Stegostoma tigrinum: one gene and its partners. The protein of the gene in region 3 interacts with the protein of the main gene of each other region in a pairwise test. Links are inferred from orthologs where the notes say so. Each region holds a gene or a part of one and is shown on either strand. Other genes may lie near its edges.

Evidence for each region. The genes of interacting proteins can lie anywhere in the genome.
Region 1: the proteins of kifc3 (region 3) and atf2 interact in binary tests that used the Homo sapiens proteins (3 or more experiments, as listed by UniProt). The two-hybrid records come from large-scale screens. The link is inferred for Stegostoma tigrinum from reciprocal best matches to the Homo sapiens genes KIFC3 and ATF2.
Region 2: the proteins of kifc3 (region 3) and necab2 interact in binary tests that used the Homo sapiens proteins (3 or more experiments, as listed by UniProt). The two-hybrid records come from large-scale screens. The link is inferred for Stegostoma tigrinum from reciprocal best matches to the Homo sapiens genes KIFC3 and NECAB2.

Annotation. Positions count from the first base shown.
Region 1 is NC_081360.1:47,008,754-47,015,833, forward strand, and holds the start of atf2 (cyclic AMP-dependent transcription factor ATF-2), read left to right. Parts: upstream 1-4,012; 5' UTR 4,013-4,084; intron 4,085-4,149; exon of another isoform or gene 4,150-4,497; intron 4,498-7,080. UniProt on the Homo sapiens protein: Transcriptional activator which regulates the transcription of various genes, including those involved in anti-apoptosis, cell growth, and DNA damage response.
Region 2 is NC_081369.1:3,295,982-3,303,475, reverse strand, and holds the start of necab2 (N-terminal EF-hand calcium-binding protein 2), read left to right. Parts: upstream 1-4,426; 5' UTR 4,427-4,448; coding exon 4,449-4,679; intron 4,680-5,682; coding exon 5,683-5,707; intron 5,708-7,494. UniProt on the Homo sapiens protein: May act as a signaling scaffold protein that senses intracellular calcium.
Region 3 is NC_081369.1:11,092,564-11,099,747, forward strand, and holds the start of kifc3 (kinesin-like protein KIFC3), read right to left. Parts: upstream 3,047-7,184; 5' UTR 2,940-3,046; intron 2,511-2,939; exon of another isoform or gene 2,378-2,510; intron 1-2,377. UniProt on the Homo sapiens protein: Minus-end microtubule-dependent motor protein. Involved in apically targeted transport. Required for zonula adherens maintenance.

The DNA.
Region 1 (7,080 bases), on a different chromosome or scaffold from region 3:
TATCTTTCACTCAGTAAGGGGACCTAAACTATTCAGTATTCTAGGCATGGTCTGACTAGTGTTCTGAAGTGTGAACACTGGACCTGAAATTATTAAGAATTATTATGAATAATGGATTCTTAAGAATATTCAAAGCTGGGATAGAAGATATTCAATCAGTAAGGGAATCGAAGGTTATGGGGATAAGGCAGGAAAGTGGAGTTGAGGATTATCAGATCAGTCGTGATTTCATTGAATGACAGAGCAGACTCTACGGGCCAAACAGCATTCTTCTGCTCCTATGTCTTATGGTCTAAAGTATGATTACTTGATCACAACAGTGCTTACAGAGGATATTCTTAGGTGGTCATCAAATGAGACCATATGGTTAGAACTTAGAAACAAGAAGGGGATGGTCACTCTGTTGGGGCTGTATTATAGACCTGCAAATAGCCAGTGGGTACTAGAGGAGCAGATACGGAGAGAGATTGCAGATACCTGTAGGAATATTAGACTAGTATTGGTTGGAGGTTTTAATTTCCCCTGTATTGACTTAGCCATCCACAGTGTAATTTGTTAAATGTGTCCAAGTTTCCGAAATCAATACATAGAGGACCCAACTTGGGAGGTTGCAACACTGGGCCTCCTGTTAGGAAACAAGGTTGGACAAATGACTGAAGTGTCAGTCGGAGAGCACGTTGGGTCCAGTGAGCATAACTCTCATAGTTTTAACATAGTTAAAGTAAAGATAGGACAATCCACAGGTTAAGGTGTTAAACCAGAGCAAAGCTAATTTTGGGACCATTGGGCAGGATCGAGCAGAGGTCGATTGGGTGAGTCTGTTTGAAGGAAAAGGAACAACTGGCAAATAGGAGGCTTTTAAAAGTGTGATATCAAGAGCCCGGGGCAGTGTATCCCTGTTAGGGTGAAGGGAAAAGCTGGCAGGTTTAGGTTTTCCTGGCTGACGAAGGATAGTGAAGCTCTGGTCAGGAAAATGAAGAAGGCACACGTTGGATTTAAACTATTGCCTCAAGTGGATCCCTAGATGTAGGAGCACACAAGACAGAAATCAGAAGAGCAAAGGGGTATGAGAGGGATCTGGCAGATAAGACTGAAGATGATCCCAAGAGGTTCTATAGCTTTATTAAAAGTGAAAGGGTGGCTGGGGAGAGAGTAGCTCCCTTTAAAGATCAGCACGGTGATTTACATGTAGAGCCATAGGAAATGGGTAAGATTGTTAATGAATATTTTTCCTCAGTGTTTACTGAGCAGAGAATCATGAATGCTAAGGAAATAAGGAAAGCAAGTAGGGAAGATCTGAATGTGAATGTACAAGGTATAATTAGTAAGTTTGCAGATGATTCAAAATTGGGATGTATTATTGGTATCGAAGGTTATCGAAAATTACAGATGGATCTTGATCAAATGGAGTTCAATTCAATACAGGCAAATTTGAGGTTTCGCACTTTGGAAAGTCAAACCACAGTAGGACTTATACCGTAAATGGTAAGGTCCTGATGAGTGTTGTGGAACAGAGGGACTGAGGAGTACTAGTACATAGTTTGTTCAAAACAGCAAAACAGGTGGACAGGATGGTGAAGAAGGCATTCAGCATGCTTATCTTCGTCAGTCAAGGCATTGAGTATCAGAGTTGGGACATTATGTTACAGTTGTATAACTCATTGGTGAGGCCACACATGGAGTATTTTGGTCACCCTGTTAGAGGAAAGACATAGTTAAACTGGAAAGTGTGCAAAGAATATTTACGAGGATGTTGCCAGAACTAGTAGGCCTGAATATAGGGAGAGCTTGGCCAAGATGGGACTTTATTCCTTCGAACATAGGAGAATGAGGTATATAAAATCATGAATGTGCAGATACATAGGTCCCTTAAAATGGCCACCCAAGTGGACAGGGTTGTTAAGAAAGCATATAGTGTTTTGGCTTTCATTAACAGGGGGATTGAGTTTAAGAGTCGTGAGATCTTGTTGCAGCTGTACAAAACTTTGGTTAGACCGCACTTGGAATACTGCATCCAGTTCTGGTCGCCGTATTATAGGAAAGATGTGGATGCTTTGGAGAGGGTTCAGAGGAGGTTTACCAGGATGCTGCCTGGACTGAAGGGCTTATCTTATGAAGAGAGGTTGACTGAGCTCGGTCTCTTTTCATTGGAGAAAAGGAGGAGGAGAGGGGACCTAATTGAGGTATACAAGATAATGAGAGGCATAGACAGAGTTGATAGCCAGAGACTATTTCCCAGGGCAGAAATGGCTAGCACGAGGGGTCATAGTTTTAAGCTGGTTGGAGGAAAGTATAGAGGGGATGTCAGAGGCGGGTTCTTTACACAGAGAGAGTTGTGAGAGCATGGAATGCGTTGCCAGCAGCAGTTGTGGAAGTAAGGTCATTGGGGTCATTTAAGAGACTGCTGGACATGCAAATGGTCACAGAAATTTGAGGGTGCATACATGAGGATCAATGGTCGGCACAACATTGTGGGCTGAAGGGCCTGTTCTGTGCTGTACTGTCCTATGAAGGGCATAGATAGGATGAATACATATTTTCCCAGGGATGGGGAATTGAAAACTAGATGGCATAGGTTTAAGGTAAGAGGGGATAGATTTAAGAAGGACCTGAGGAGCAACTTCTTCACCCAGAGTGGTGTGTATATGGAATGGGCTGCCAGAGAAAGCGGTTGAGACGGGCACAATAGCAACATTCAAAAATTATTTGGATATTTTCATAGATGGGAAGGGTTTATAAGGATATTGGCCAAATGCAGGCAATTGAAACTAGTGAACTGGGCACCAAGGTCAGCATGGACCGGTTCTGACCAAAGGGCCGTTTCCATGCTGTACTACTGTGACTGTCCACAGATGCTGCCAGACAACTGAGTTTTTCCAGCAATTTCTGTTTTTGTTTATGGCATGACTAGTGCCTTTTATAGTTTTAGCAAGACTTTCCTGTTTTTACACTCTGTTCCTTTTGAAACAAAGACCAACAGTCCATTTAACTTTCCTATTACTTATCAAGATTGAACTTGTGATTCAGGCACAGGGACCCCCTTGATTTTGCTGCTTTCTGCAGTCTCTATTTAAATAAATTTCATCTCTTCTATTCTTTGCACCAAAGTGCATAATCTCACATTTGCCCCACATTGTATACCATCTGCCAAGTCTTTGCCCACTCACTTAATCTGTCTATATCTTTCTGTAAACTTTGTGTCATCCTCACAACTTGCATTCTCACCTATTGTTCCATATTCCCCACCTGTGCCAAACAGCGTATTGTTTGCTAATTTGGGTAGCACGGTGGCTCAGTGGTTAGCACTACTGCCTCAAAACACCAGGAACCCAGGTTTGATTCCACCCTCAAGTGACTGTCTGTGTGGACTCCCCGTGTCTACGTGGGGTTCCTCTGGGTGCTTTGGTTTCCTCCCACATAACAAAGATGTGCAAGCTAGGTGAATTGGCTCAGCTAAATTGCCCATAGTGTTCAGGGATGTGCAGATTAGGTGGGTTATAGAGAGATGGGTCTGGGTGGGATGCTGTGAGGGTTGGTTGGGCCGAAGTGCCTATTTCCACACTATAAAGATTCTATGATCTTTGATGTCTGCTGGTGGAACACAGCTCATTTTTTCTTGCCATGTTGACAGACTACTTTTCTATGGTTCCATTTGGATATGTCAGAATTTCCAGTTAGGATGACTACACATGACAAATTGTCTGTCAGAGTAGCGTAGGTGCTGGTAGACCATTAAAACAGTTCTGGTAGTGAAAGGCAGGTAGGTGCTGTGTACTGTGATCACAGTTGTTCCTTATACCACACTATTTACCATGAATTGACCAAAATTGGTTCCCACCGGTCAGTATGAAATGGCACATAGTGGTTCGTTCTTCTCATGTTACCAATAACTAATCCCCGAGAGTCCTTCCATTGACCATCGACTAACCCACAACAGCTTCTTGCGTACTAATGGATGACCCTTCACCTGACACCACCACCCTGCATGTGTCATGTGACCAGGTGACGTAGGGCCGAGGGTTCCTGGGTTGAACTCTCGCGAGGTGTCAGCTCGCTTGTCCGTGAGCAAGAATCAGCCCTTGTGGTAAGTTTGTAAACAACGATAATCAGTAATCTAGACGGCTCCGGGCTTCTTGTCATGACGTTTGGAGCGGCGTTTATTTTCACAATGAGCTCTGATCATGGGGCTGGGGTGTGTGAGCGGCGAGCCGCTCCGGGGTGGGTCTGTTCACGAACGTTATTTGTTAATATGGCGACGCTCCCCGGCCGCTGGGGCTCTGATTCCTGAGGCTTCCTTCCAGTTGGAGGAGGTTTCCTCACAGTGCAGGTTACTCCTCTTCTCTGGAGCCACACAAATTCCCGAGTAACCGCTTGTGTTGAGTAAAGGGCGGGGTCTTTCTGGTCTTGAATCGTGGTGCTCTTCTAGACGTGGACACATCTGTATGAGACGAACGGTAGAAAATCCAACCAGTGTCTCGTTTCCTCGAAAGCAGACCGGTAGTATCCTTGTCATTGGTATTGCTGTATTGTAACCGAGTCAAATCGTACATTGGGAACGTTAATGCGATTCACACAGCAAGTTGAACCAAAATTTGTAGCATCTTGTTATTGATGATGTACCGTATGAAATCCTGCACCTCAAACCAAACGAATCGCGTTTAATCTTATAATTGGTTTCAGGTTCTGAAGGAATTAATTAAGAGTCAATAATGGCTACTTCCCAGCCGTGGAAAGTATAAATACTGCTTCTGTTTCCTTCAGTAATAAACAGTTTTAAAATCCGATAGGCAAGTATATTTGTTAATGGGAAACTCGGGTGTAGGCCAAAAGTCCATACTACCTATCGACACCACTAAGGTAAATCAAAATTAAGTGACGCCAAGCTTAGTTTTCAAAATCTTGTCGAAGGAATTAAAAAAAGAATTCCACAGTTTTGAAAACAAGCATTCATCAGAAGGAAAAATACTTTGTAGGGCATGTGTTTGATACTTAGGAAACAGGAAGCAAAGTTTGAAGCAACACTAGGGTGGAATCATAGCACAAAAAAGAAACACGCTTGAGAGTGAACGGGCCTCTTGTTGTTTTCAGCAATATTAGAAAGGTGGCGGAAGGAACTGTCTAAATTGACAGCAGAATTGAAGTCTTGATTTTATTGTGTCATTGAGGGGAAAGTAATAAATGTTTGAAACATGACAGTGTAGGTTCCTACATTAAATGATGTGGGATTGCTGTTTGAAGTCACAAGAACTGTGCAGTCCAATGTTAACCGTTGACAGACAAGGACAATGGATGAAAAATCAAAAACATGGTAGCAGTACAATATATACTTGCCAGAGATTGAGGAAATGGTATGTATTTTAAAAAACTGAAAAAATAAATTGGTTCAGTGATGCTGCTTCATAGCAAAATGATTTATCTGTTGGACTTTTGAAGGACTGGCATACATTGAACGTAGAATAGAATCATGAAAAGCATGAGTGGGGGTGAATGATCAGTGTAAGTCATTGATCTGAAGATGGAACCAGATGAGGCAAATAAGAGGACCCTGGGGATTTCTTGCTTTAAGGGAAAAGGAGTCTAAGGAAGATGAATCAACTACGGCACAGATGGTAATTGAGAACTGTAAATGTATTTTTAATGGGGCTTCCAAATAAGTTTAGAAGTACATGGTGCCAGATTTCAGCAAAGGTTATGTGTTGTCTGAGCAATAACCAATGATTCAGAAAAGGATTATTTCATGACTTTAAAAATGATTACACTTTTGAATACACAATTGTTAAATGCACCCAGTAAGCATACACTTGATATATATTGATTTAACTTGGGCTGTAGATACTTGTAATCAACCCATTTAGACAAGTTATGACACACTCTGGAGCAGTTGGGAGTTGAATCCAATCCTTCTGGCTCAGAGGTAAGAACACTATCACTACATCACAAGAGCTCCCCAATTCAGGCTGTAACCTTAGCAGTTAACAAATGCAGAGGTTTGTTTTAGAATCTGATGTAATAGCACAGGAGGGGGCCATTTGGTCCATTTTGTATGTGCCAGTCAACAAAGATCTGACTACACTAATCCCATATTTGTCCATGGCCCTAGAGGTTCTGACAGTGCAAATGAATATCTAAATACTGCTTAAATGTTAGAGTTTTTGATCTGACCACCCTCTCAGGCAGTTCGTTCCAGGAAATTTTCTCGTCAACTTAGCCGTCAACCTCTTACCTTAAATCTATGCCCCCTCGTTTTTGTTCTCTGTACTAATGGAAAGAAATACCTTCCTATCAATGTCCCTCGTGATCTTGAACACCTCTATCAGGTCACTTCTCAACCTTAACTGCTGGAAGGAAAATAATTCCAACTTGTCCAGTCTTTCCTCATATACACTCTTGCACCATCCTGCTAAGTATCCCCTGCATCCTCTCAAGCAGAACAACACCCTTCCTCTAATGTGTTGATCAGACATCATACAGTGCGTCAATTGTGGCTTAATCCTCATGTTATACAATTTGAGTATAACCTCACTGCTCTTGTACTCTGTGCCTTGGCTAATAAAAGCAAATATCTAATTTGACTTACTTATCTGCAGTACTACCTTCAGGAATATGCATGTCAAGTTCTCTTTGGTCTTCGTTACTTTCCTGGTTTCTACCACTCATAGCTGTCTTTTTAGGATGGTGGAGTTTGCACGTTCTCCCCAAGGCTGCATAGGCTTCTTCCCGGTGTGTTGGTTTCCTTGTGTAGCTTGAGCTGATTGGCCATGCTAAATTGCCCATAACATCAAGGGATGTGCAGGCTAGGTGGATGAGTCATGGGAAATGTAGGGTTATGGGGAAGGGGGAATGCGGCCTGGATGTTGGTGTGGACTTGATATACCAAATGACCTGCTTCCACGCTGTGGGGATTCTATGATTCAATGTCAGACAAAGACAGAAGCTCTTCGCTCTATGAAGTGAAGATATTTAGTTTCAAAGTTATAAAATATCAAATTATCTATGTAATTTTATGTTGCACTTGGTGTAAATTGTTACACAGCCACAAGCAGTGTTCCTGTTAATTTTTGCTTCTGCGTGGACCTCTTG
Region 2 (7,494 bases), about 7.8 Mb from region 3:
CTGTTTGACCACAGGTGAGGCCTCAGAGGACTGGAGATTAGCCAGTGTTATTCCCTTGCTTAAGATGGGAAGCAGGGTTAATCAGGAAATTATTGACTGGTGAGCTTGATATCAGTGGTGGGAAAGCTCCAGGAGAAGGTACTGAGGGACAGCATATATGCACATTTGGAAGAAAATGTGTGTGTTAGATACGGGCAGCATGCTTTTGTACAGGGAAGGTCATGTCTTACCAATCTAATTGAATTTTTTGAAGACAAAGATAATGAATGAGGGAAGGGCTGTTGATGTAGTTTATGTGGACTTTTGTAAGGCATTTGATAAAGTCCCCCATGGCAGATTGGTACAAAAAACTAAAATTGCATGGGATTCAGAGTGGGCTGGTCAAATGGATACAAGACTGGCTTGGTCATAGAAGACAGAGGGTAGTGGTGGAAGGGTGTTTTTCAAAATGGAGCCAGGTAACTAATGGTGCTCCACAGAGATCATTATTGGGTCCTTTATTGTTTGTAGTGTATATAGATGATCTGGATGAAAATGTGGGTGGTCTGATTAGTAAGTTTGTAGACGACACAAAGGTTGGTGGAGTTGCTGATAGTGCCAACGATTGTGAAAAGGTACAACAGGATATAGTTAAATTAATGACTTGGACACAGAAAAGATAGATGGAGTCTAATCCAGACAAATCTGAGGAGATTCATTTTGGAGGGTCAAATTTAGGTGCGAATTATACTGTAAATGGCAGAACCCCTAGGAACATTAAAATACAGACAGATCTGGGCCTGCAGTTCCCTAAAAGAGGCAACACAGGTAGCCAAGGTGATTAAGAAGGCATATGGCATGCTTGCCTTCAATGGCTTGGTGTGGAGCACAAGAGTTCGTGAAGCATGTTGTAACCATTTACAATCCTGGTTAGGCTGCATTTGCAGTATTGTGTGCAGTTTTGATTGCCAAATTACCAGTAGCATGTGGAAGCTTTGGAGAAAGTACAGAGAGGGTTCACCAGGATATTGCCTGGTCTCAAGGGCATTGGTGATGAGGATAGGTTAAAAAGACTAGGTTTGTTTTCACTGGAAAGACAGCAGCTGAGAGGAGACCTGATAGAGGTCTACACAATACTGCATAGTGCATAGTCAGAGGCTTTTTCCCAGGGTTGAAGTTTCAGTAACGAGGGGGTACAGGTTCAAGGTGAGAAGAGGAAAGTTCAGGGGAGATGTGTGAGGAATGTTTTTCACACAGAGAGTGGTAGGAGCCTGGAATGCAGTGCCAGAGGAGGTTGTGCAAGGAGATAGGTTGGTGACATTTTACAGGCACCTGGATAATTACATGAATAGGGAGGGAATAGAAGGATACGACTGAATAAGGGCAGAAGGTTTGTTTTTCAGTTTAGTCGGGGCATGATGATCAGCACAGGCTTGGACGGCCGAAGGGCCTGTTCCTGTGCTGTGCCTCTCTTTTGTTCTCGTTTGTTTGTTCTCTTATAAAAGTAGGGAGGTTTTGCTAAAACTATGCAAGGCACTGGCCAAGCCACAGCTGCAATAATGTTGAGCATTTTGGGCCCCTTACCTAAGAAAGCTATCAAGGCATTGTAGGAAGCACAGTGAAGGTTCACTGGGCTGACACCAGCTACAAAGGGACCGTCCTATGAGAAGAAATTGAGCAGATTGGGCCTGTACTTATTGGAATATAGAATTTTGACCTTACTGAAACTTACATGAGGGGCATGACAGGGTGGTGAATCTGTGGGATTGTGGTGATGTGGGGAGTGCTATGGACATTATTGGTGATTAATGAAGTGGATGCTGGGGTTAATATTGGCTGATTTCAGTTATGTGAATGGGGAGGTACATGTCCTGGGCAGTGACAAACTGGAGAATAGGATTAACCTGCAGTCATCTGTGGCTGCCCATATTTAATTGCACTCTCTGTGATGCCACTGAATAGCAGGTAATATGGAGAACAGGAGGCTGATCCAATATCACGCCCCCTCCCCCTCACCCCCGATTCTGTCACTGCCGGTGATAAATTTGTATCGTACTCTCATAGCATCAGAGTTAGTGATCAATTGTCCTGTTTCCTGCTGTTTCGCTTCCTGCTCTGTACCAATCTTATTGCAGCATTACCTACGGTACAGCTAAGCTCCTCTGAGGACTGACTGCTGAATGAGATACACTCACAGGAAGATCCATGCTCCATCCTCAGTCTGCATTCACAGACTCGGCCAGGAAAATAATTAATCCCTGTGGCTTGGAAAGATTAAATTCTGCCAGGGTCCCAGTGGGCTGGCCAACCTCTCAGGATCTCAGCGTTTAGAAATACACACACACAAACACACACACGGGAATGCACACATGCACACACATGCATGCATTCGAATAGGCAAACACACAAATACTTGCATACAGACACATGCATCCACAAATACACACCCACTTGCACATTCATATGGAAAACATAAAAAGCCTCAGATATGCAAGCACGCTCAGACATACTGATACATACATGGATTCAAATATACCGATATACACATACGTACATATCTATAGAAACACACAGGTACACATAAATATGCACAAAGACACACGCACACATACATATCTGCAGAAACACACAGGTACGCATAAACATGTACCAAGACACACACACTCTCACATATGGACTCACATACACATACATACAGACACAGACAAGCACAACCTCAGGCACAGATACACATACAAATACAAACAGACAAATCAGACACACTAGGGAAACACAATTGCACTCATAGTCACACATACAAACACGCGGACACATGCACAGACTCACAAAGGTCAAAGACATACTCGCAGATACATGCAGAAACACAATGAAATGCATGCAAACACACATGCAGATACACACACACATGTACAGAGACAGATATACATAGACACAGATACACTTACGTCCAAAGATATACTTATACAAATCCAGATGTATAGACACAGATATACTCACATACACACATCAACAGACAGACACACCCACACACATACACACAGACACAAACATAGGCCTACTCATACACACTTTCAGCTAGATACATACAAACAGATGCAGATAAAGGAAAAGTCACCATAGTCTTACCAGACCATAGGGCTGCTCTCTCATGAGACAGAGATGGCTGGTGGTGGTTTAATCTGAGGATCATCATACCTCAGGTGACAGGAGAATTTGAGAAGGTGAGACTTTCAAGGTAACCTCAGCCAGTATGGGAATTGAATCCACACTGCTGGCATCACATGCACACAGTGACACACAGGCACATGGTCACACACCCTGACACAGTCACACACACATGCATGTCATGTACAGTGCCATGAACATGGGCACACACCCAGCCTCGTCACACACACAGTTACACAGGCAGAGTCACATTGACACAGTCATGCACCCACACAGACTCTGTTACATTCAGTCATGTCCATGCAGCACTACACACAGCGGTCAAACACACGGTAACACAGTCACACCCATACTCACGTGGGTGCATGCGTCTATTCAATGTATACACATGGATGTGGATATAGATACACTGATGGACACAGACAGACTCACGTACAAACACATAGACTGGCACACACAGACAGACACATGTAAAGGCATATAGACACAGACATACACACAGAGATACAGAGACACAGATACAACACAAGCATAGATGGATACACAATGATGCACACAGACACACAAGCACACATTGGCATGCATGCACAGGCACATGCACAGACACATGCACAAATGGGTACACAGGCACATGCAAACATACATTTGGAGACACAAATACACACAGGCACAGACAGATACTGACGCAAATTCACAACACAGATGTTACATCTGTAACACTCTGGACACAATGTATACACATTCACACCCGCGCACACACATCGTCAGAAACACACAAACACAAAATTGCGAGCTTAAAGACATTGACAAAGTTTACCCACAGTTTTTTCTTTGTATACATACAGTGGTATCAACCTGGGGGCTATTTCTGAGGAGGCTCCCTGGCTGGATTTGCCCTGTGTACAGCTGACGGGGCAGCAGTTGGAGGAGGACAGTGTCTGTGAGTGTTGAGCACGGCCTGATCTTTCCTCTCCTCCCGCCCCTCTGCATCTCCCCCCTCTCTGCCGGCCTGTTCCTCTTTCTCTACACGTCCTACAGTTTGCCTCCAGCTCTCGGTGCTGCTGAGTGCGTGAGCGGTGACGGGGAGGGGGATAGACTGTGTGTGTGTGTGTGTGTGTGTGTGTGTTGAGGGTGGGGGGCGGGGGGAGTGCTGCTGGAGCCGGCCTGAAGCTGCTGGGAACCCGGGGGGGGGGCGGAGGTGTTGGGGGGCTGGGTGGTAGGTGCGTGGGGAGGGGATAGGGCGGGGGGGGGGGTTGCAGGGAGGGGTGTGAGGGGAAGGGGATGGTCTGCAGGATGTGAGGAAGATGTGTGATCAGGCAGCTCGCTACTGCAGGGACAGCGTCCAGCAGCAACTCCGTGACACGCAGCCGCCTGTGCACCGCGGTATCAGGGGGCTGGACGGCGTCCTGCGCTGGGTCCTCACCAAAATGAGCGACAAGAAGTTCGGGGACAGGGAATCTCAGAAAACTGAAGGGGCACCTTCCAGGCAGCAGGTGGCCGCGGACACCAAGAAAGGCATCTCAGTTATCCTGGACGTAAGTAGTTTTCTGTCTCTTCCTTTCCCCGCCTGGAGTCAGAGACCAACTTTCATATTTTAGTGGTTACCCATCCTCAATTGACCAAGGGACTGATTCAGATCCGCCCTGCGGAATCCTTCCCCGGCAGGTGGGACTGTCTATGGATAGAGTCAATAGGAACGGACTGGGCTCGAGTCGGAAGGAGCTGCCCGAGGATGAAAGCTGAGAGGGGCATGCGGTGGAGCGAGACAGAATATCCGAGAAAGTGATGGGGAGAGAGATGGAGAACTCCAGCAGAGGGACATGCAGAGACAGAGAGAATGAGTTAGAGACAAGGATACAGAGAGGCAGAGAGAGAAAGAGGGGCATGCAGGGAGAGGGGCGAGGGACAGAGACGGAGAGAAGGCGATGGAGAGAGAGAAACGGTAAGGGACAAGAGAGGGAAAGCAAAAGAAAATAAGTGAGACAGACACACACGGAATGGCTACGGAGGGATTGAGAGAGAGTGAAGCTGACAGGGAGAGAGCAAAAGCGGAATAGAGCGACCTACAGAGAGGCGAGAGAAACGGAGAGCAAAACAGTAAGTGAGAAACAGAGAGTGAAACACAATGAGTGATAATGAGAGCAACTTACAGAGACGGAGAGAGAAACTGCAGAAAGCGGGGGGGGGGGGGCGAGGGAAGAAGGAGACAAAGGGAAATAGATGGATAAAGACAGAAGAGAGCAGAAAAACAGAGGGAGAATTAGAAGGAAGGAAAGTGAGACAGAAAGAGAGGCAATCTGTTGGCAGGGAGTGAATTTAATATGAAAGTTAGATGGATGTATGAATAGAAACATTAAATTCCGAAGAGTGTGTGTCTGTTCGATAGTTTTGGCTATGTCTCTATTGCCTGGCTTGTAATGTAACAGTAAATACTGCAGGCAAGTTGGGGGCATTCAGAGTGAATGATTTCGGTTTGAAATTCTGCTGAGTGAACGAAGAAATTGATCTTTTAAAATTCTGTTTTCTCCACGTCTCTAGATATTCAGAAGAGCTGATAAAAATGGTAAGTGCAGAATCATTTTGGTGCATGTTTAATTTATATTAGTCTCATTTTCAGAGGTATTTTTAGGAATGATGCAGAGGGTGAAAGGGTTAAATTGCAAGGACAGTGTGTAAACTTAGCTCATATCCCCTTGGTGGGACTGACTGCAAGTGCATCTGGTTGTGGTGATTAAAATATACATTAAGATTCGGTTGGGATAATATGAAGAGGCGTTATCCTCTTAAATGTTTACCGTTATCTCAAGCAGCTTGGAATCAAATTGTGTTTCCAATAGAACAGAGCCTTGGTTGGACCACATCTGCAGTACTGTGTTTACTTCTGAACAGTGCAACTCAGGAGGTATATAGAGTGTTGGCAAAGATTCACATGGATTTGATTGGGGCTTCAAGGGTTAAAGGCAGTCAGAGATTCTCAGGTGAATCCAACCAGAGGCAGAGTGGGTCAATAGACATCAGCTACAGATCAGACTGAATCTCAACACAGATCCTGTTCAGGAGTTTGCCTTTCAGCCATTGTCTCTTCACCAACTATCTGAATGAATATCTCACCTAGTGTCATTCTTTCTGTAACCTTGCACTTTGCTCCTTTTCCAATTAACCATTTGATTTCCCCTTGTAAAGCCTTGTTTGAACCAGCCTCTACCATCCTCTCAGGCATTCCATCGCAGATCTGAAGCACTTGCTGCACAGACGAGATTATCCTCGAACCACTTTAGCTTCTCTCACAAATTCTCTGAAACCTGTGGCCTTCATGTCCTCAATCCTTTCAAGAGGAGGAACAGGTTTTCCTTTTACTGTTTGGGTGCCCCATGATTTTGAACATCATCCAGATCTCCTCCCAGCCTTCTCCTCTCTGAGGAGAACTGTCCGAGCTTCTCTAATCAGTCTTCATACGTGAAATTCCTCATCCCAGCAACCATTCTGATAAATTCCTTGTTTAACCTCTCCAATGCCTTCACATTGCCCTGAAAGTGCACTGTCCAGAACAGAACTGAAGCTGAGCTGATAGACTGAATGGCTTTTCTGGCCCTTTAATGATGAATAAGGGCTTCTCCTGAAAGAGATTGAGAGTTTTACACACAACTGTTAGAAGACCTAAGATGATACTGTGAACAGTCTAAATATTAGAATTGAACCTGAGCTTGAATGAAAACAAATTTATGCTCAAAAGGGTTGATTAATTCTGATTTCTGCTCTGAGAAGCCAAACGCAGGGGCAGCGGGTCCCACACACACACGGACTCTCACTGAGGTATGGGATCCCACACACAAACTGACGCTCACTGGGGCAGTGGGTCCCACACATGCACTGACTCTCACTGGGTAACGGGGTCACACACACACACACACACACACACACACACACACACACACACACACACACACACTCACACACACACTCACACACAGACTCTCACTGGGGCGGTGGGTCCCACATACACACTGACTCTCACTGGGTAATAGGATCCCACAGACACTGACTCTCACTGAGTAACGGGGTCCCACACACACACTGACTCTCACTGGGGCAGTGGGTCCCACATACACACTGACTCTCACTGGGGCAGTGGGTCCCACATACACACACTGACTCTCACTGGGTAACAGGATCCCACAGACACTGACTCTCACTGGGGTACGGGGTCCCACACACACTGTGGTACAGTCCCACACGCATTAACTCTCACTGTGGTACAGTCCCACACACTCTGGAAGTATTGTGTCAGGCAGCTGGACAGTGCAGCTGACTAGCAATAACCAGTGCTTTGATGTTAGGGATGTATCTGAG
Region 3 (7,184 bases):
CAAGTGCACGCAGCACATGGTACAAGTGGCCAGTGCAGGATTTTGAACATAACGCAGCAACTTCCGTTCAGTCAATTTAAACAATCACTGTACTGGCAACCAGATTGCTCCCTGTTTCAGAGGTAGTGGGAACTGCAGATGCTGGAGAATCGGAAGTGACAAGGTGTAGAGCTGGATGAACACAGCAGGCCAAGCAGCAGAGGAGCAAGAAAGCCGACGTTTTGGGCCTAGACCCTGCTTGGCAGGTTTGAACACAAGCCTGGGAAGTAACATCAACAATACTGCAGTTATTCTGCTTTGTCATCTTACCCAGCATAGCATCTTCAAGCCATACGTAAACCAAATGTCTGCCTCTCTCTCTGCAATGAATGCTTATGGTATAAATACCACGGACTCCAGCTCCTTACTGACATTTTGTAGCATGCACACCAACAGCAAATGTGTTACCCTTTAATGAGTCAAAACGTTTCAGTGTTGCTACTGCCAACCAACTGCACCTGAGAACAACTCATAATTCCTGCTTTATAAATCAATCACTCTGTGCCCGAGGTGCCTGCAGCATTACCCCAGTGAAGCAATACCAACAAGAACAGGCTGAAGAAATTTGGGGCTTTTCCAGTCTCAGTTGGAGATGATCAGGCTGAATAGGGTAAAACAGAGGACAGAGAGTGAAGCTTTATTGAATGTAGTTATAAACTACACAGGTGTTGTCAACCAGGTCAGGAGACTGCTCTAGGATCAACTGTAGCACATGTACCACTGGGATGTCATATTTCCACATGTGCTAAAACATATTCCAGCAACTCAGGGCTGTAAAGTGAGCACTATAACTTAGATTTGATCTATCACCGCATGGAACTCTTCCCTTTGCCAAACCACAGAATGTTATTACATCACAAGCGTCAGCAGCATTTTAACTGTTTAAAAGGAGGAAAAAAGAATTTGACCCATGAGACAAGAAATCAGGAAATCACCCAAACCCAAACTTTGGCCAGGATGGTACCCTCATTTCTGAGAGATGAAATGCCTCCACCCAGTTACATAGTCAGAGATGAGTGGGTTTCTCAGCACAACATACACAGGGTAAAGGCTTCACCATTTTGAACTCCTGGTAAAAGGAGGCACTAGCTGTGCATGATGGTTTTTAGTTTCAATACAGTGAAGATGAAGAGAGGAAGAACTTTGTGGAACTAGGCACAACTGAAGTTGAGGAGAAATAAAAGGGCAATTCAGCTGAGCAATGAACACAGCTACACGTATTTAAATGCAGTCAGGTTAGGGGGCATGATGATTTTGGATGTACCCGGTTATCTCTGAAACTAGCTAACACAACTGTTTTGGCAAAGGGAGTGTTGAATAGAAATTGACCAACATTGTCCCATTTGTCCCCACTGCATATTTCCCTCAGTACAAAGGTAACAATCAATGCTAGAAGGGAGGTGGTGTGGAGTTGGTTTGTACGTAACCCCGTGGTTGCTGAATACCTGGTTGCCCCAGGAAGACTCCCAGATACCTGCTACACCTGAAAGGCTTCCTTAGCAAACACCGTCTCATCCCACAGTCCCAGGATACTGATACCATCGCCCCAGAGGTGAAACAGTACCTCCCACACTAACCAACATAACATGACAAGGTCAAGAGCAGGCACAGCACTTTTTCTGCTCAATCTAGCCAACCCCAAAACCAAATAATAAACTGATCAAAACCTTTAAACTCATTACTCTGTGTAACAGGTTTAATTGTGACAAGAAATATCTTCATGCAGCAGCAATAAGATGACCAAAAAAGTTTAATTCACATAAATATATAAATATCAAGCCCATTCTGCCTATTTCTCATTTGAATAAGATCATAGCTGATCTGTACCTCAATACTATTTACTACCATTTGATCAATTACCTTTGATATGCCAGAAATGCAGGAGAGGGATCTGCCATGATTTTCCACCACAGACAAAGAAAAGTAGCAAATTCAAGGGCTAGTTAATAGTACATGCACTAGACCCCACATTCCAGGCTCAAATTCAAGGAGGCCCATTGGAATGCTGGAAGGGTCACATTGTGCATTGCAGTGGAATTGTACAGGTGCACATAATGACACTAGGAGGATGCTGTTGCCAGGGAAACAGCCTGTACAGTAGCCTGAGCGAAAACACCATCTCCTAACCTTACTTACAATCTACAGAAAGAATTCGAGCCATGGAAAATACCTTCACTTAGTAATTAAAAAAACATCAAAACGCAAGCTTAATAAACTAAAATTGCAGAAACAGAATTCATTCAGACTAATGCCTACCAGCTGGTGTTAGTCCACAGAGCTGCAATGCAGGGTTAGCTCGCAGCTGGGCTACTCATGGGTTAAATCCGCACCTCGGACAGAACGGAACCAGCCGGCTGAACGGAGTCGCCAGGCCGATGGTTAAGGCTCTCGCCCTGAGAGAATGCAAGAGGGGGAAACCGGTGACTTGTGTGTTATAACGTCGTGCTGCTGAAAGCAACAACGTCCTTCTGGTGAGAATGACCTGGCTCTCTCTCTCGCTCTCTCTGGTCAGGTGCTCCTGATTCAATCTGTGTTGACAAATGATTTTCTCCCACCCACCCCCGTCTTTGGCTAACGCAGCTGCTTTCTCCGCTGCCGTGTTTTCATGTTTGGCACCTGGAGACCACTGCAGGGCTTTAAAAACAAACAGCACTCTCCCTCTGGTCTCCTATCAGACAGGAGAGGCACCCCCGCTGTGACCCAAAACGCCCAGTCCACCCCGGCTGCCGCTGAAGCTCAGCCTAGGTATAACGCCCCCCCCCCAACGACGCTGCAGACAGGGGTAGATCCCTACCGACCACATTCCATCAAATAGGTGTCTTGTAGCCTGCACCGCCCCTTATCCGATGTGAGGATGATAATGCACTTCTCCCTGTTCAGGAAATTAGCATTATACTCACCAAGCACACCGCGCCCGAGCCTAGCTCAGGCTGGAAGCGACCCTCCCGCAACGGCCACCGCTGCTCCCCGGGTCCCAGAGCCGAGCCGAGCCGAACAGGACTGCCGCAGAATCTGTCAGCTAGACTCAACCAATCAGGCTCAGGCTCCTGCCCGGCACCGACCAATCAATGGCGACGCATTCAGCGAGTAGGCGGGTCGCTGATAAAACGGGAAAAGTTTCAGGAATTCGAAATTAAACATGGAAAAGATAGGGACAGTCATAACACATAGTAATAGGACAAAGGGAAAATTAATGATGTAGGTATTGGGGAAATTCAAAGGTAATAATGTTGGCCCAGGAAGAATACAAGCGGAGATTAGAAAAAGTACTAAAATAGTAAACACTGATGCGTGCAAACATACAAACGAGGAGCAGGACTAGGCCATTCTGCGCTTCGAGCTCGCCCCAAAGTTTGGCAAATCTGATTACTCCACATTCCCCCCTATCCCCAATAATTTGTTACTCCTTTGTTTAACAGGAATCCATCTAATTCTGCAACTGGAAGGGCAACAATCCAGGCACAAGGCCAACGCAAAGGCTTGGAAAATAATGTATTGCATTAGGGCAGGGAGAAGAATATTGGATAAACAAAGCAGGGTACGGCTGCAGAAGTTATGGGGCTGGAATAAGGATAAACTGTAAGCCACATGCTGAAGTTCAGAGAAAGACACATTTACTGGAACAGGACTAAGCACAGTGGACATAGCCCAAAGCCTGGAGAGGGTAAATAAACTGGCACTTTCTTCTTTTGTTCTTCCCAACATTTATGTATATCATTGTAAACACTGTCTCCCTGCTTGCTGGATTTTCAATGAAACCAAGATGCATAGCATCTACCCAACCTTAGTTCAGCCAGACCCAGCTACTACCTCAATCATTGTAGAATCCATAGATTTTAAACCTGAAGTTGTAACTGTATGCCATTAGCAATTTACTTCTGTTCCCCCATTTCCAGTTCCACAATCAGTACCAACTTAGGAGTGACTGACTTTAAAAAGAGCACTACTGACAATGGTGTCAATGAGAAAATCGAGGCTTGGGCGACTCGTAAAAGCTCAATTCCCCTGTAATCCTGCAAATTCTGTGCTGATGCTCTGGTCAGGTAACTCACCAGGAAATATTGATGCCAAGGAAACAAATTAACTTACAATTAATGCAAATAAAGTATCTTAATGTTTTAGAGGTATGAAACAAGCATTCTCTTGAAGGCACAAATGCTTGTATGCCATAATTAGCCATTACCAGCATTGGGCCATGCGAAAGCTCGATCAGATTCCTTTTCTTTCTCGTCTCAGGAGGCAGTTGGATGGCCCATTGTTCTCTCTTCTCCATTCTCACAACAGAAATGAGCTAAGAGGTAACACAGTGTGGAGCTGGGAGAACACAGCAGGCCAGGCAGCATCAGAGAAGCAGGAAAACTGATGTTTTAGGTTGGGACCCTTCTTCAGAAATCTTCCTCTGAAGAAGGGTCCCGACCCGAAACGTCAGCTTTCCTGCTCCTCTGATGCTGCGTGGCCTGCTGTGTTCTCCCAGCTCCACACTGTGTTATCTTTGACTCCAGCATCAGCAGATCTTACTATCTCAGAAATGAGCTAAGTTGTTTAGTACACAGCAAACAATCACAGTTCTGTCTGGCGAATTCCAGAGTGCGCCCTCTGATCATCCAGGCAGAGACAAATCCAACCCGGCCAATTACCACCCCATCAGTCTCCGCTCGATTGTCGGTAAACTGATGGAAGCTGTCACCAACAGTGCTAACAAGCAATACCTGCTCAGAAATAACCTGCTCAGTGACGGCCAGTTTGAGTTACACTAAGGTCACTCAGCTCCTGATCTCATTACAGCCTTGGTTCCAACATGGACAAAAGAGCTGAATTCTAGAGGTGAGGTGAGAGTGACAGCCCTTGATATCAAGGCTGCATTTGACTGAGTATGGCATCAAGGAGCCCTGGCAAAACTGGAATTAATGGGTATCACGGGCAAACGTTCCAGTAGTTGGAGTCGTACCTGACACATAGGAAATGGTTGTGGTTGTGGTTGTAGGAGGTCAATAATCTCAGCTCCAGGACATCTCTGCAGGCTCTCCTCAAGGTAGTGTCCTAGGCTCAACCATCTTCAGCTGCTTCATCAATGACCTTCCCTCCATGAGAAAGTCAGAAATGGGGATGTTCGCCAATGATTGCATAATGTTCAGCACCATTCGTGACTCCTCAGCTATACTGAAGCAGTCCGTGTTCACATGCAACAAGATCTGGACAATATCCAGGCTTGGGCTGACAAGTGGCAAGTGACATTTGTGTCACAGAACTGCCAGGCTATGACCATCACCAATAAGAGACAATCTAACCATCACCCCTTGACATTCAATGGTGTTACCATCACTGAATCCCCCACTATCAACATCCTGGGGGTTACCATTGATCAGAAACTCAACTGGACTCACCACATTGACAGATTAGCTACAATAGCAGGCCAAAAGCTGGGAATACTGCAGCATGTAACTCACCTCCTGACTCCTCAAAGCCTGCCCACCATCTACAAGACACAAGTCAGGAATGTGATGGAATACTCCCCACTTGCCTGGAAGAGTGTAGCCCCAACAAGACTCAAAAAGCTTGACACCATCCATGACAAAGCAGATCACTTGATTGACATCATATCCACAAGCATTCACTCCCTCCACCACTGATGCTCAGTAGCAGCAGTGTGTACCGTCTACAAGATGCACTACAGAAATTCACCAAAATCCTCAGACAGCACCTTCCAAATCCACGACCACTTCTATCTAGTTGGACAAGGGCAGCAGATATATGGGAACACCACCACCTCCACGTTCCCCTCCAAGCCACTCACCATCCTGACTTGGAAATATATCACCGTTCCTTCGGTGTCACTGGGTCCAAATCCTAGAATTCCCTCCCTAACAGCATTGTGGGTCAACCCACAGCAGGTGGACTGCAGCAGTCCAAGAAGGCAGCTCACCACCACCTTCTCAAGGGCAACTGGGGATGGTCAATAAACGTTGGCAAGCCAGCGATGCCCACATCCCACAAAATGAATAGAAAAAAAAACATTATGATAAAAGGTATTAGGTTTGTATGTTTGTATTAATGTCATTTTCAGAGTTTCAGTTTTCAAATTGTGGCATATGGGGTTGATTACTGAAGGGTTTAAAAAATAACTCAGTCAGATCTAATCCAATATGTGCAAGAGAGCAAGGATGCCCCGGAGCATAATGATCGATTGTTTTTATGACAGATGGGTAAATATTGAAGGCCATTAGCTTGTTTTGGGTTCAAGATAATCAAGGATTGATTTTAGCTTAGAAAACTCAGAGATTGAAAGCTTTGAGTGCTATTTGAAGGAGACCTGAAGCAAATATAGTTTTTCTCCTCAAAATGAGTATAAGACTGTTCATGGAAAGCACAGTTACCTCTGTATAAAAATCATTTTGTGAAACGAGTAAACCAGCAGTGTTTCTTGATAAATGTGCAGATTATTCAAAGCTGAGAAATCTAAGCTCTCAGTTCTGTGAATATTCATATAAGATTACTTAACAATTCACAGGAAGAGACTGAGGAGAATGAGTTAAGTCAAGCTTAAAGATTTGATATAGAGAGATAATTTCTCTGGATTTGAGTCTCTATAACAGGTGTGTTAAGAAACAGGATGAGAATCGGTTTTGCTGTGTGTTTTAAGATCTTTCAAGCTGCGTTCTAATTTTTGCTTGGTTTCTTTTGTGTTCTTCTGATGAAGAAAGGCTGCAGTTTTATGTGACCAAATTTCAATGACTGTGCACCACATTAACCAAAATAAAGAAAGTGTGACCTATCAAACATGATTGTATCCCAGATTTAACTTGTCCATCTTGGATCACAGCATTTTCAGATATTAATTGTCTATTAGAAGAATGCCCTCGTGAATGCATGGATGGCATTGTAGCCCTGCTTAGCATCAGTCTGAGAGTTTCATATTAGGGTCATTAGAAGTACCTCTGGGGGAACCACATAATGCAGCTGTGGAGATGATATTGAGAAGTGAACATTTGAGGAACCTGGGAGTTGTGTGGAATGTAAATACTTTGACAGTTCCCTGGATAGCAGGTATACACCTGCAGGAACTGTTGCCTGTGGTCACAAAAGAGCTGGACTTTGAGGGAGTGAATCCTTCCTGTTTAGGAATGTGGCTGGACATTGCGATGGAT